3 linked regions of the Saccharomyces cerevisiae S288C genome follow. The protein of the gene in region 1 interacts with the protein of each later gene in a biochemical or structural test. Each region holds a gene or a part of one and is shown in the gene's direction. Other genes may lie near its edges.

What was found. Proteins that work in one complex are often made in the same cells at the same time.
Region 2: of the proteins of PKC1 (region 1) and PAH1, one has a biochemical effect on the other in vitro, tested with the Saccharomyces cerevisiae proteins (3 studies listed by BioGRID).
Region 3: the proteins of PKC1 (region 1) and RHO1 form a complex in vitro, tested with the Saccharomyces cerevisiae proteins (4 studies listed by BioGRID).

What each region holds. Positions count from the first base shown.
Region 1 is NC_001134.8:11,410-19,216, reverse strand, and holds PKC1 (protein kinase C), read left to right. Parts: upstream 1-1,520; coding exon 1,521-4,976; downstream 4,977-7,807. Other genes in the region: SEA4 (Sea4p), read left to right, coding at 1-1,040; putative Rab GTPase-binding protein SRO77, read left to right, coding at 5,338-7,807. UniProt on the Saccharomyces cerevisiae protein: Required for cell growth and for the G2->M transition of the cell division cycle. Mediates a protein kinase cascade; it activates BCK1 which itself activates MKK1/MKK2.
Region 2 is NC_001145.3:589,303-594,546, reverse strand, and holds PAH1 (phosphatidate phosphatase PAH1), read left to right. Parts: upstream 1-1,918; coding exon 1,919-4,507; downstream 4,508-5,244. Other genes in the region: MME1 (Mme1p), read left to right, coding at 74-1,180; MSS11 (Mss11p), read left to right, coding at 4,997-5,244. UniProt on the Saccharomyces cerevisiae protein: Mg(2+)-dependent phosphatidate (PA) phosphatase which catalyzes the dephosphorylation of PA to yield diacylglycerol. Required for de novo lipid synthesis and formation of lipid droplets.
Region 3 is NC_001148.4:873,567-876,734, forward strand, and holds RHO1 (Rho family GTPase RHO1), read left to right. Parts: upstream 1-1,801; coding exon 1,802-2,431; downstream 2,432-3,168. Other genes in the region: MMS1 (Mms1p), read left to right, coding at 1-1,360; mitochondrial 37S ribosomal protein uS14m MRP2, read right to left, coding at 2,716-3,063. UniProt on the Saccharomyces cerevisiae protein: Acts as a central regulator in the cell wall integrity signaling pathway, which is regulated by the cell cycle and in response to various types of cell wall stress.

The sequences.
Region 1 (7,807 bases):
TTGCCACCGCTATTGCAGGTTACTTGGCGTATAAGGATCTGCCAGGTAACAATGCATGGAGGCAGCAATGCAGAAAAATGTCCTCCGAATTAGATGATCCTTACTTGAGAGTTATTTTCGCCTTTATCGCAGACAATGATTGGTGGGATATTCTTTATGAACCTGCCATATCTTTGAGAGAACGATTAGGGGTAGCTCTAAGGTTTTTGAATGATACAGACCTAACCACTTTCTTAGATAGAACTTCATCTACAGTTATTGAAAACGGCGAATTAGAAGGTTTAATTCTCACCGGAATAACACCTAATGGTATCGATCTACTGCAATCATACGTTAATAAAACCAGCGATGTTCAGAGTGCCGCACTGATATCAATTTTCGGCTCCCCTAGATATTTCCGCGACCAACGAGTAGATGAATGGATACAAACTTATAGAGATATGCTTAAATCGTGGGAATTATTCTCCATGCGAGCCAGGTTCGATGTTTTAAGATCAAAATTATCGAGAACTAAAACTGGTGTATTAACTGCAGACATAAAGCCCCGGCAAATATATATCCAATGTCAAAACTGTAAACAAAACATCAACACTCCGCGCACATCCTCACCTTCTAGCGCCGTCTCTACTAGTGCTGGAAATTACAAAAATGGTGAAGCCTATAGAAGAAATAACGCTGACTACAAGAAATTTAATACTGGAAGTTCTGAAGCACAAGCAGCTGATGAAAAGCCAAGACATAAGTATTGTTGCCCACACTGTGGGTCTTCATTTCCAAGATGTGCCATATGTCTCATGCCTCTAGGAACGTCAAACTTACCTTTTGTAATAAATGGGACGCAATCACGCGATCCAATGCAGACAGAAGACTCTCAAGATGGTGCAAATCGCGAACTCGTAAGTAGAAAACTGAAGTTGAACGAGTGGTTCAGCTTCTGTTTGAGTTGCAACCATGGTATGCATGCCGGTCACGCTGAAGAATGGTTTGACAGACATAATGTTTGTCCCACTCCAGGTTGCACCTGCCAGTGTAATAAGTAGTATTGTACAATAAACCAAATCTTGCAACTTCTCTTTATTCTCACAATATATATACATAACCAAAGAAAAAACGTAATTAGTATAACATTGTATTTATGAGGCATTGCTATCTTCATTACCCAGCCCGCCTAGTTTTAAAGGCGAAAAAAACCGACGAAAAGAGTTAACAAGCGTGGATAATAAAGTTGATCTACTCTATCGAAAGTAATACGACAGGTTCAGGAGCAGTAAAAGAGCTACGATTTCACTGCTATTCAATTTGGCTGAGTAGAGACTGATTATTAACCATTGTAAAAGTCTCTGCCACCACTCGTCCACACTTACGTTAGAGGTATTCAGCGTCGATCCCCTTTCAGTATAGATTTTTAAAACTATATTAGATAATCAATAGGAATAAAACCTAGAACAGTAGCTGCGGAGAGAAGCTCTAGCGAGGAAAAGTAAGTATAGTATCACACATATAGGGAGCAGTTTACAGTCATGAGTTTTTCACAATTGGAGCAGAACATTAAAAAAAAGATAGCCGTCGAAGAAAATATTATTCGGGGAGCTTCTGCCCTCAAGAAAAAGACTAGCAATGTTATGGTCATTCAGAAATGTAATACGAATATTAGAGAGGCACGTCAAAATCTTGAGTACTTGGAGGATAGCTTAAAAAAATTACGGTTGAAGACCGCTCAACAAAGTCAGGGTGAAAATGGCAGCGAAGATAATGAGCGATGCAATTCGAAGGAATACGGGTTTCTTTCTACCAAATCGCCAAATGAACACATATTTTCTCGTTTGGATTTAGTAAAATATGATTGCCCTTCTTTGGCGCAAAGAATCCAATACATGTTGCAACAATTAGAATTCAAATTACAGGTGGAAAAGCAATACCAAGAAGCCAATACTAAATTGACTAAATTGTATCAAATTGACGGTGATCAACGTAGTAGTTCTGCGGCAGAAGGGGGTGCTATGGAATCCAAATACAGGATTCAAATGCTTAACAAAGCTTTGAAGAAATACCAAGCTATTAACGTTGACTTTGATCAATTTAAACACCAACCCAATGACATAATGGATAATCAACAACCGAAATTCCGAAGAAAACAACTGACTGGCGTTCTAACAATTGGAATAACTGCTGCTAGAGATGTTGACCATATACAATCACCGATGTTTGCCAGGAAGCCAGAGAGCTACGTTACTATAAAAATCGATGATACGATCAAAGCCAGAACGAAGCCTTCTAGAAATGACAGGTGGAGTGAAGATTTTCAAATTCCAGTTGAAAAAGGGAATGAAATCGAGATTACTGTATATGATAAGGTGAACGACTCGCTCATTCCAGTGGCTATAATGTGGTTACTGCTTTCCGATATCGCTGAAGAAATTCGTAAGAAGAAAGCCGGACAAACAAATGAACAACAAGGATGGGTCAACGCTTCAAACATTAATGGTGGTTCTTCTCTCGCTAGCGAAGAGGGAAGCACATTGACTTCTACATACTCAAACTCAGCCATTCAGTCTACTTCAGCAAAGAATGTGCAAGGCGAAAATACATCAACTAGTCAAATCAGTACGAATTCATGGTTTGTCTTAGAACCATCCGGGCAGATTTTGTTAACACTAGGATTCCACAAGTCTTCTCAAATAGAAAGGAAGCAGTTGATGGGTGGACTACATCGTCATGGTGCTATTATCAATAGGAAAGAAGAGATATTCGAACAGCATGGCCACCACTTTGTACAAAAATCATTTTACAACATTATGTGCTGTGCATATTGTGGTGATTTCCTTCGGTATACTGGGTTCCAATGTCAAGATTGTAAATTTTTATGTCACAAAAAATGTTACACCAATGTTGTTACTAAGTGTATTGCTAAAACTTCTACTGATACGGATCCGGACGAGGCAAAGTTGAACCACCGTATTCCTCATAGATTCCTGCCTACTTCAAACCGTGGTACTAAATGGTGCTGTCACTGTGGTTATATTTTACCATGGGGTAGACATAAAGTACGCAAATGTTCTGAATGTGGTATAATGTGTCATGCTCAATGTGCTCATTTGGTTCCCGATTTCTGTGGCATGTCGATGGAAATGGCTAATAAAATTCTGAAAACGATTCAAGACACAAAACGTAATCAAGAGAAAAAGAAGAGGACAGTTCCGTCGGCACAGTTGGGGTCATCTATTGGTACTGCCAATGGTAGTGATCTTTCCCCATCCAAATTAGCTGAAAGGGCAAACGCTCCTTTGCCTCCTCAGCCAAGAAAACATGATAAAACTCCTTCGCCTCAGAAGGTAGGAAGAGATTCTCCAACTAAGCAGCATGATCCTATTATTGATAAAAGAATTTCACTACAAACGCACGGGCGTGAGAAACTAAATAAATTTATCGATGAAAATGAGGCCTATTTAAATTTTACAGAAGGTGCACAACAAACCGCCGAATTTTCATCACCAGAGAAAACACTGGATCCAACGTCGAATAGACGTTCCTTGGGACTCACTGATTTATCTATTGAGCATAGTCAAACTTGGGAATCTAAAGATGATTTAATGAGAGATGAACTTGAACTGTGGAAAGCACAACGTGAGGAAATGGAACTTGAAATAAAACAAGATAGTGGGGAAATCCAAGAGGATCTAGAAGTTGATCACATTGATTTAGAGACCAAACAGAAACTAGACTGGGAGAACAAAAATGATTTCCGTGAAGCTGATTTGACAATAGATTCCACACACACAAATCCATTCCGCGATATGAATAGTGAAACCTTTCAAATTGAACAAGACCATGCTTCAAAGGAAGTACTACAAGAAACAGTGTCCTTGGCTCCTACAAGTACTCATGCCTCCAGAACCACTGATCAACAATCTCCGCAGAAATCACAAACCAGCACAAGCGCAAAGCATAAAAAGAGAGCGGCTAAACGTCGTAAGGTTTCATTAGATAATTTCGTATTACTCAAAGTTCTTGGTAAAGGTAATTTTGGTAAAGTTATTTTATCTAAATCAAAGAATACTGACAGGCTTTGTGCCATAAAAGTTCTGAAGAAAGATAATATTATTCAAAATCATGACATCGAGAGTGCAAGAGCAGAAAAGAAAGTATTTTTGTTAGCCACAAAAACTAAACACCCATTCTTAACCAATCTATACTGCTCTTTTCAAACTGAAAACCGTATATATTTTGCTATGGAGTTTATTGGGGGCGGTGACTTAATGTGGCATGTTCAAAACCAAAGACTATCTGTAAGAAGGGCCAAATTTTATGCCGCCGAGGTCTTACTGGCTCTGAAATATTTTCATGATAATGGTGTAATATACCGTGATTTGAAGTTGGAAAACATTCTATTAACTCCAGAAGGTCATATAAAAATTGCCGATTATGGTTTGTGTAAAGATGAAATGTGGTATGGTAATAGAACTTCTACATTTTGTGGCACACCAGAATTTATGGCTCCAGAAATTTTAAAAGAGCAAGAATATACCAAAGCTGTCGATTGGTGGGCATTTGGGGTGCTGCTATATCAAATGCTACTGTGCCAATCTCCATTCTCAGGAGATGACGAAGATGAAGTTTTTAACGCTATCCTTACCGATGAACCCTTATACCCAATAGATATGGCAGGTGAGATTGTACAAATATTCCAAGGCCTATTAACAAAAGATCCTGAAAAGAGGTTGGGTGCTGGTCCCAGGGACGCAGACGAAGTTATGGAAGAACCTTTCTTCCGTAACATCAACTTTGACGATATCTTAAACCTTCGCGTGAAACCACCCTACATCCCAGAAATTAAATCTCCGGAAGATACATCATATTTCGAGCAAGAATTCACCTCTGCGCCACCCACACTTACACCTCTGCCCTCTGTTTTGACAACGAGCCAGCAAGAAGAGTTTAGAGGATTTTCCTTTATGCCAGATGATTTGGATTTATGAAGAAAAGGTCATGCCATGATTTATTTAATTTTATATAAAACATCTAAGCGGAAAAGTTGAACTGTTCCGCTTCATAGGAGGAGAGGGTTTTTTTAATGAGATTTTGTTACATAAACTGAAACTATCCATTTTGATGCAATGCCTCTTTTTTGTTCGTACCTATCTTGGAGCATGCATATGAAAAACCTCGTTTAAGCGATGCGATGCGAAGCCGTATGTTCAACAATGCGCATTCTGTTTACATTATTAAGGAAGCATTTAAGAAACAGCTCAGTATTATATTACTACTAACATATTTCTAAAGTTGACAGATTATAAAAGTTACAAAATTGTCAATTGAACAGATACAAAAATTTTATAAATGTTTAAGAAAAGCAGGCATTTGAAGAATGTGTCAAATGCTATCAAATCCGCGAGAGTTCATGACGTCTCAAATGGTATTAACTCCAAATTTTTCGATACTAAGAAAATATGCACATACGGCATAAATGGACGAATCACTGTTACCACATTCGACTATACTCAAAGCCTTTTGGCAGTTGCAACTACTGCTGGGGAGATACATGTTTATGGGCAAAAGCAAATAGAGGTCGTATTTACGTTAAAAAATCGACCTCAAATTAAACACATGCGGTTTATTAAAGGAATTTATCTGATAGCTGTAGATGAGAAGAGCAACATAATAGTTCTTTCAGTACACTCGAAACAGATTCTAACTACTGTTTTCTGTCCAAACAGCATCACTTGTATTGAGACTGATCCGTCCTTGGATTGGATGCTGATTGGCCTCGAGAGTGGATCCATATTGATCTATGATGTGGATAGAAATCAAATGTCCAAATTGAAAATTGAAAACTTCCAGAAAAGTGTGTTTTTGCCAAAAGAGAGGCTATCACCGGTTATTTCTATCCAATGGAATCCTAGAGACATAGGAACGATACTTATATCATATGAGCATATTACAGTCATATATTCTTTCATTGACTACAAAGTCAAGCAACATTTTTTTTACCAATTAGAACCGTATGCTCCGGGCGGTGATCTATCCACAAACATAGAAAAGAAACGCACTCCAAAGGTCATTCAGTCACTTTATCACCCAAATTCCTTACATATATTAACTGTCCATGAAGATAATTCCTTGGTATTTTGGGATGTCAATAGCGGTAAACTGATTCACGCTAGAAGTATATTTGAAACACATGTGAATTTTCCAAATCCTGCCTTGAAAGACTGTTCCTTTACAGAAACACCCGCTATCTTTAAAGTAAGCTGGCTTTGCCAGCGTAATCCTGAGTATACATCGTTGTTGATTGCAACAAAAGCTACAGAAAATCCCTGTTTACCTCAGGAAATAACCATGATTGACTTAGGCGGCACACCAATGTATTCTGTGACATCATTTGACGCAATGAGCAAGTACTATGCTAAACCGGTTCAACAAAAACTATTTTCGTTGATTGGCAAAGCTCCACTAATAAATTTTCTACCCTTGCCGAAGGCTTCTCCATATTTTGGTGGATGCCATGACACAAACCTCATTTTATTACTTTTAGAAGATGGCGAACTTGAAACATTGATATACCCAGCAGGCTCTTTTAGTTCCAAGGCCTCCATTTTCCCTCGGAGCTTAGCATGGGTTCGACCAACGGTTACTACTTGTATAGCGCAATCAGTTCAAAAAAATCTTTGGCTGGGGATGATGACAATCGCTCAAAGTGAATCGTTTTTAAAAGGTGGTATTCCTGCCACCAGAAATATTAGAAGGCATGAGACCAGATCTGCTTTACTAACTGGGCATAGTAATGGTTCAGTCAGAATATGGGATGCTTCACACAGTGAAGTAACTGACAACGCTGTATTTGAAGTGAATACTGCTAAAGTACTTAACAGAGCTACTAACCTGGCCATAAAAAATATCTCCTTTGCATCGGAAACATTGGAATTGGCGGTATCATCTGAGGTTGGGGATGTTATTCTTTTCAAATTCGAAACAAACAAGTTTTACGGACAACTTCCCAAAAGCGATGCACTGCAATTGAAGTTTAGCAGATTTTCATTGGATGATTCAAAAACTATTTTAGTTGATGTTTCGGATAGAGGGCCTACGAACGTTAAACAAGGCTTTATACCAAGTACGGTAATACATGCTAAAAAAGGTGCGGTGTCCGCAATCATGAATAGTAATATCGGGTTCGTTGCCGTTGGTTTCATTGAAGGAACCTTAATAATATTGGACAGAAGAGGCCCGGCTATAATCTTCAATGAAAATATTAGGGTCATTTCTAAAGCTGGTAGCTCTTACGTTTCAACCGTTCACTTTTGCGTCATGGAATATGGAGATGATGGGTTCTCTAGTATTTTGATGCTATGTGGAACGGATATCGGGGAATTGATGACTTTCAAAATACTGCCTGCAACTAATGGAAGATTTGAGGTTAAATTCACTGATGCAACAAAGACCAACAATCAAGGAAAAATTCTAGGAATAAATTCTTTTGCCAAAGATACTGGCTACAGTTGTTCTGCTACTATATCAAAGATGCAGGGTTTAAGCAAGGGTATCGCAATACCTGGATTTGTTACTATCAGTGGCGCAAATGACATTCGTTTAGTATCACCAGGTAAATCTAAGGACACTCATGCGCTTTTCAAGTATCCAATTGCCACTAGTGGATTATCATTTATTCCCATTATTGACGGTAAAGGAGAAAGAAAGCTTTCAACTATTATGATCGTTTTGCTAATTAATGGAGATATTAAAGTTTTGACAGTACCTGAGCTTAAGGAAGTCAAAAATCTACGCTGCCCGGTCCCTCTAAGCGCTCAAT
Region 2 (5,244 bases), on another chromosome or scaffold:
GAAAACAAACGCTGAGTATTCTAACGAAGCACGCATAATAATCTTCACTTCCAACCGACTGGTATAAAAGATAATGAACTCATGGAACCTGAGTTCTTCAATACCGATAATACATACGCCTCATGACCATCCCCCGACATCAGAAGGAACTCCAGATCAACCAAATAATAACCGAAAAGATGATAAACTGCACAAAAAAAGAGGCGATTCAGATGAGGACTTAAGCCCTATATGGCATTGTGTCGTCTCCGGTGGGATTGGTGGAAAAATAGGAGATTCTGCGATGCATTCATTGGATACTGTTAAGACAAGACAACAGGGCGCACCCAATGTCAAAAAATACAGGAACATGATCTCTGCATATCGTACCATTTGGCTAGAAGAAGGCGTGAGAAGGGGGCTATACGGCGGTTACATGGCTGCCATGTTAGGCTCCTTCCCGTCAGCGGCAATCTTCTTTGGGACCTATGAATATACTAAGAGAACAATGATAGAAGATTGGCAGATTAACGATACCATCACACATTTGAGCGCTGGATTTCTTGGCGATTTTATCTCCAGTTTTGTTTATGTTCCATCAGAGGTCCTAAAGACAAGGCTACAATTGCAAGGAAGGTTCAATAATCCTTTCTTTCAATCTGGCTATAATTATTCGAATTTAAGAAATGCCATAAAGACAGTTATAAAAGAAGAAGGGTTTCGCTCACTATTTTTTGGATACAAAGCCACTTTAGCCAGAGATTTGCCATTTAGTGCATTGCAGTTTGCCTTCTACGAAAAGTTTAGGCAATTGGCTTTCAAGATTGAACAGAAAGATGGTAGGGATGGTGAGTTGTCTATACCTAATGAAATATTGACTGGTGCCTGTGCAGGTGGACTGGCGGGAATCATTACCACACCAATGGATGTTGTTAAGACTAGAGTCCAAACTCAACAGCCGCCCAGCCAAAGCAACAAATCATACTCAGTAACACATCCACATGTAACAAACGGCAGACCGGCAGCACTTTCCAACTCGATTTCGCTCAGCCTTCGGACGGTCTACCAATCTGAAGGTGTGTTAGGTTTCTTTAGTGGCGTTGGCCCTAGATTCGTCTGGACAAGTGTTCAGAGCAGTATAATGTTGCTTCTGTATCAAATGACCCTACGCGGATTAAGTAACGCATTTCCAACGGACTAAGAGCCTGATTTCTGGCTCATCTAACTCTCTAGAGGATAATTTTATGTGATAAAACTTTTCCTACAAGCGGCTACAATAAAGACAGTACAAGGGACCTCACCCTATTCGCCATCACTGCACATCACAGTGGGTCTTGTACTTATCATTTCACATACATAGATATAGGTTCTTCCGAATAAGTTTTGTATATAGTCATTTACGGCAAGAATACTCATCTAAGTTTAATACGCATTTCTCTCTTCGTTCGCAGTTCCTAACACTGAGCGTTCTTGTTTGGAGGGCTCGTTTAAAAAAAAGTCTAACAAATGTGACAGATTTGCTTGAACAGGGTCCAAACTCATCTTGTATATCATAACACTACATCACTGGGAGACAAAATCGAAGTGCCCACGTGCTGCTCATTCTCTAAACGGTCTGTCGCGGGCCCTTTTCGTCCTTCGGTTTCCCTCCCTTTAGACAATGGGCTCTCTTTTCTCTATTATCTATCTCTTTTTCTCGGCTTTTCCGGCCAGCGTTGAAAGCAGCGCACGGTGAGGGTAGAAGGAAGAGCAAGGACAAGTGAAGAGTAGGCCATCGTGGGGGCTTGTGTTTATAAAGAAAATACATTCAACAATTTAGTAAAACGTGTTCAAGAAGTGTTAATCAGACCAATTGGACACTACACCTTCGTAATCACAGTTTTACCTTCTAAGAAACATACAGGGAAGAAATTACTGAAGATAGACACATCGGTCGATTATGCAGTACGTAGGCAGAGCTCTTGGGTCTGTGTCTAAAACATGGTCTTCTATCAATCCGGCTACGCTATCAGGTGCTATAGATGTCATTGTAGTGGAGCATCCAGACGGAAGGCTATCATGTTCTCCCTTTCATGTGAGGTTCGGCAAATTTCAAATTCTAAAGCCATCTCAAAAGAAAGTCCAAGTGTTTATAAATGAGAAACTGAGTAATATGCCAATGAAACTGAGTGATTCTGGAGAAGCCTATTTCGTTTTCGAGATGGGTGACCAGGTCACTGATGTCCCTGACGAATTGCTTGTGTCGCCCGTGATGAGCGCCACATCAAGCCCCCCTCAATCACCTGAAACATCCATCTTAGAAGGAGGAACCGAGGGTGAAGGTGAAGGTGAAAATGAAAATAAGAAGAAGGAAAAGAAAGTGCTAGAGGAACCAGATTTTTTAGATATCAATGACACTGGAGATTCAGGCAGTAAAAATAGTGAAACTACAGGGTCGCTTTCTCCTACTGAATCCTCTACAACGACACCACCAGATTCAGTTGAAGAGAGGAAGCTTGTTGAGCAGCGTACAAAGAACTTTCAGCAAAAACTAAACAAAAAACTCACTGAAATCCATATACCCAGTAAACTTGATAACAATGGCGACTTACTACTAGACACTGAAGGTTACAAGCCAAACAAGAATATGATGCATGACACAGACATACAACTGAAGCAGTTGTTAAAGGACGAATTCGGTAATGATTCAGATATTTCCAGTTTTATCAAGGAGGACAAAAATGGCAACATCAAGATCGTAAATCCTTACGAGCACCTTACTGATTTATCTCCTCCAGGTACGCCTCCAACAATGGCCACAAGCGGATCAGTTTTAGGCTTAGATGCAATGGAATCAGGAAGTACTTTGAATTCGTTATCTTCTTCACCTTCTGGTTCCGATACTGAGGACGAAACATCATTTAGCAAAGAACAAAGCAGTAAAAGTGAAAAAACTAGCAAGAAAGGAACAGCAGGGAGCGGTGAGACCGAGAAAAGATACATACGAACGATAAGATTGACTAATGACCAGTTAAAGTGCCTAAATTTAACTTATGGTGAAAATGATCTGAAATTTTCCGTAGATCACGGAAAAGCTATTGTTACGTCAAAATTATTCGTTTGGAGGTGGGATGTTCCAATTGTTATCAGTGATATTGATGGCACCATCACAAAATCGGACGCTTTAGGCCATGTTCTGGCAATGATAGGAAAAGACTGGACGCACTTGGGTGTAGCCAAGTTATTTAGCGAGATCTCCAGGAATGGCTATAATATACTCTATCTAACTGCAAGAAGTGCTGGACAAGCTGATTCCACGAGGAGTTATTTGCGATCAATTGAACAGAATGGCAGCAAACTACCAAATGGGCCTGTGATTTTATCACCCGATAGAACGATGGCTGCGTTAAGGCGGGAAGTAATACTAAAAAAACCTGAAGTCTTTAAAATCGCGTGTCTAAACGACATAAGATCCTTGTATTTTGAAGACAGTGATAACGAAGTGGATACAGAGGAAAAATCAACACCATTTTTTGCCGGCTTTGGTAATAGGATTACTGATGCTTTATCTTACAGAACTGTGGGGATACCTAGTTCAAGAATTTTCACAATAAATACAGAGGGTGAGGTTCATATGGAATTATTGGAGTTAGCAGGTTACAGAAGCTCCTATATTCATATCAATGAGCTTGTCGATCATTTCTTTCCACCAGTCAGCCTTGATAGTGTCGATCTAAGAACTAATACTTCCATGGTTCCTGGCTCCCCCCCTAATAGAACGTTGGATAACTTTGACTCAGAAATTACTTCAGGTCGCAAAACGCTATTTAGAGGCAATCAGGAAGAGAAATTCACAGACGTAAATTTTTGGAGAGACCCGTTAGTCGACATCGACAACTTATCGGATATTAGCAATGATGATTCTGATAACATCGATGAAGATACTGACGTATCACAACAAAGCAACATTAGTAGAAATAGGGCAAATTCAGTCAAAACCGCCAAGGTCACTAAAGCCCCGCAAAGAAATGTGAGCGGCAGCACAAATAACAACGAAGTTTTAGCCGCTTCGTCTGATGTAGAAAATGCGTCTGACCTGGTGAGTTCCCATAGTAGCTCAGGATCCACGCCCAATAAATCTACAATGTCCAAAGGGGACATTGGAAAACAAATATATTTGGAGCTAGGTTCTCCACTTGCATCGCCAAAACTAAGATATTTAGACGATATGGATGATGAAGACTCCAATTACAATAGAACTAAATCAAGGAGAGCATCTTCTGCAGCCGCGACTAGTATCGATAAAGAGTTCAAAAAGCTCTCTGTGTCAAAGGCCGGCGCTCCAACAAGAATTGTTTCAAAGATCAACGTTTCAAATGACGTACATTCACTTGGGAATTCAGATACCGAATCACGAAGGGAGCAAAGTGTTAATGAAACAGGGCGCAATCAGCTACCCCACAACTCAATGGACGATAAAGATTTGGATTCAAGAGTAAGCGATGAATTCGATGACGATGAATTCGACGAAGATGAATTCGAAGATTAAAGATTCTTGTAGCCGAATATTATTTATAACGATCCATACTGCATATTAAGTAAAATTATGAAGTACTAAGTAACAATTTTTCAATTTTATTTAAGAAAAGAGAAGGAAAAAAAAAAGAAGAAAATTTTTTGATAGAAGAAAAAGGTAAACGATGATTGTTACGTACCAAGTGTTCTTCTGAGCTATTTGGTAATTACATACTTCTTCGAAATGTCAAGGTAAATACTTTTCTATACGCACACGAAACTCGCTTGCTGCAACAGGTATTACGTCAGGTGAAAAAAGCGGCCAAGAGGCAATGCCGAAATACAATGCGTGTATAACAGGAAGAGGAGGGGTATAATAAAATCACCATAGTAGAAAAGACCAGAAAGATTTCTATTGCAATCCTGTGTGACTCTTTTGGTTTTTCCCTTTGGTATCTCCCGGTTCTTTTGTCAATTTTTCGTTAAACTGCAGTGAAATAAGAAAAAGGTGCATGATAAAGATATGGATAACACGACCAATATTAATACAAATGAGCGCTCTAGTAACACGGATTTTAGCTCAGCTCCCAATATCAAAGGTTTGAATAGCCATACTCAGTTGCAGTTTGATGCGGATTCTCGAGTTTTCGTTTCGGATGTAATGGCTAAGAACTCTAAGCAATTATTGTACGCCCATATTTATAACTATTTAATCAAAAACAATTACTGGAACTCTGCCGCAAAATTTTTAAGCGAAGCTGACCTTCCTTT
Region 3 (3,168 bases), on another chromosome or scaffold:
TTTATATCTAGACAAAATAAATCGAATGCTGGTATTGAATCAGGACTTGAGGGAATGGGAGTGTATTAGACTATCAGATGGTAAGGCAGTTGGTTTAGATTCTCAACTTCTTAAGGATGATTCTGAAGAAATCCTAGAAATAAAGGAATTACCAATAGCAACAGAGGACAATCCTTTAGAAAAGAAAACTGTATTATTGATCTCTTTTACTAGCTCATTAAAACTAGTTTTATTAACTGCTGCAAAAAACAAAATTTCCAATCAAATAATAGATTCGTATAAACTTGACAATTCAAGACTCCTCAATCATTTGGTCATTACTCCCAGAGGTGAAATATTCTTTCTGGATTATAAAGTTATGGGCACCGATAACGAAATGTCCTTTAACAAGTTGAAAGTCACAAAACATTGCATTGACCAGGAGGAGAGAAATAATACGACTTTGCGGCTCACTTTGGAAACCCGGTTTACATTTAAGAGTTGGAGTACAGTTAAGACGTTTACTGTAGTAGGCGATAATATCATTGCTACCACAAATATGGGCGAAAAGCTCTACTTGATTAAGGATTTCTCTTCATCATCTGACGAATCGAGAAGGGTGTATCCCTTGGAAATGTATCCTGATTCAAAAGTTCAAAAGATAATACCATTAAATGAATGCTGCTTTGTTGTTGCCGCTTACTGTGGAAATAGGAACGATTTAGATTCAAGATTAATTTTTTACTCTTTACCCACCATCAAAGTTGGGCTTAATAACGAAACAGGCAGCCTACCAGATGAATATGGGAATGGGAGAGTCGACGACATATTCGAGGTTGACTTTCCTGAAGGATTTCAATTTGGCACTATGGCTTTGTATGATGTTTTACATGGTGAGAGGCACGTAAATCGTTACAGCGAAGGCATACGGTCGGAGAATGACGAAGCAGAGGTTGCCCTAAGGCAGCGTAGAAATTTACTACTCTTTTGGCGAAACCACTCTTCTACACCAAAACCTTCACTACGCCGAGCCGCCACTATAGTATATGAGGATCATGTATCATCCCGTTATTTTGAGGATATAAGTTCTATATTAGGAAGCACTGCAATGAGAACTAAAAGACTATCTCCCTATAATGCGGTAGCATTGGACAAGCCTATTCAAGATATTAGTTACGATCCCGCAGTACAAACTTTATATGTGCTAATGGCAGATCAAACAATTCACAAATTCGGCAAGGACAGGTTGCCTTGCCAGGACGAATACGAACCAAGATGGAATTCTGGCTATTTGGTTTCAAGAAGGTCAATAGTTAAATCTGACCTCATCTGTGAGGTTGGGTTATGGAACCTTAGCGATAACTGCAAGAACACAGTATAATTCCCTCATTTCCAATAACATTGTCGCTGATAAAATCGTGATTCTCGATCAATGTGCTACGCGTCGTGCAGCGTGACAAGGGGCTAAAAAAAGATACAAGAATTCTTGTTGTTTCCAATTTGCTTCGCCTCAGAAAAAAAAATAAACAGATTATACAATTTTTGTTTGATTTGTATTGGGTACTACATGTTTTAGTAGTTGATACAAATACTTCTTTATCCTAATCGTATATATTTATTTTACCAGCAGGAATTCGTCTTTAATATCGTTTCGACCATCGATCATTCCTCTGAGTATTGCAAAAACATTTTTGGAACAACCCAAACTTAAAGTTACAAAACTCAAAAAAGGAACAAAATTAATAAAACAAAAGAATCGCTGTTAGAGGTTTATTGTTGCACTAATAGAAAATCATAGAACTTTAAAAATTATACTAGAAAGATGTCACAACAAGTTGGTAACAGTATCAGAAGAAAGCTGGTAATCGTTGGTGATGGTGCCTGTGGTAAGACATGTTTATTAATCGTCTTTTCCAAGGGCCAATTTCCAGAAGTCTACGTACCAACTGTCTTTGAAAACTATGTAGCAGATGTTGAAGTTGATGGGCGTCGTGTAGAGCTAGCGCTATGGGATACCGCTGGTCAAGAAGATTATGATAGACTAAGACCATTGTCATACCCAGACTCCAATGTCGTATTAATTTGTTTCTCTATCGATCTTCCAGATTCTTTAGAGAATGTACAAGAAAAATGGATTGCCGAAGTATTACATTTCTGTCAAGGTGTGCCAATTATTCTTGTTGGTTGTAAAGTGGATTTGAGAAACGACCCACAAACCATTGAACAATTAAGACAAGAAGGTCAACAACCCGTTACATCACAGGAGGGACAATCTGTAGCAGACCAGATTGGCGCAACCGGATACTACGAATGTTCGGCCAAGACTGGTTATGGTGTCAGAGAAGTGTTTGAGGCCGCCACTAGAGCTTCATTGATGGGTAAATCTAAAACGAATGGTAAAGCTAAGAAGAACACTACTGAAAAGAAGAAGAAGAAGTGTGTCTTGTTATAGGAGTGTCTCGATCTCTCAGTCGTTAACTTAGTGGCAGATACTGCCCTTTTTCAATCCCATTCCTTTTCTCATTGTATGTACGTATGCCTTTTTTTGTTATTTTAGCTCTAACTATAGCTACTTGTTTTTCTCCCAGTATGTGTATAATCTTATTCTTCTCTACATATAAGTGTATTGCTCAGTAAGTATTATCATCTATTAAAGAAGAATAAAAATTATCATGTATTTATTTACAAGTGCGTATCCTATATATATATATATATATACTTTCGCGATAAAATTTTTTACCAAATACCCTTCTTAACACCTGGCAAATTACCCTTCAGAGCGTTTTCTCTAAATTGATACCTACACAACCTAAAATCACTTAGAACAAATCTTGCATGTCCAGAGTCCACGCACCTATTTTTGATCTGCGTAGATCTCATGTAGTTTGGCAATGCATTTAGTTTTAACTGAGCCTCCAACCTCAGTTTTGTTGGAAGGTTCATATTTCTAGCGATGAATTTCAAAGATTTAACAAGGATTTCATTCTCTTTAAATTGTTGTCTTTTGAAGTTATCCCTAAGTATGCGAGCATTGATAAACCCTGGTGGTAGCTTGGTTTTTATAGGAAATCTGAAATTACCCATCGGTTAATGTATATATTTGTCAGTTTACCTTTTCTTTCGTTTTTCCTTTCAATCCTCTTTATCGCAGTTTGGTTCTTAGTTTGAATATTCCTCTGTTTTCGCTCT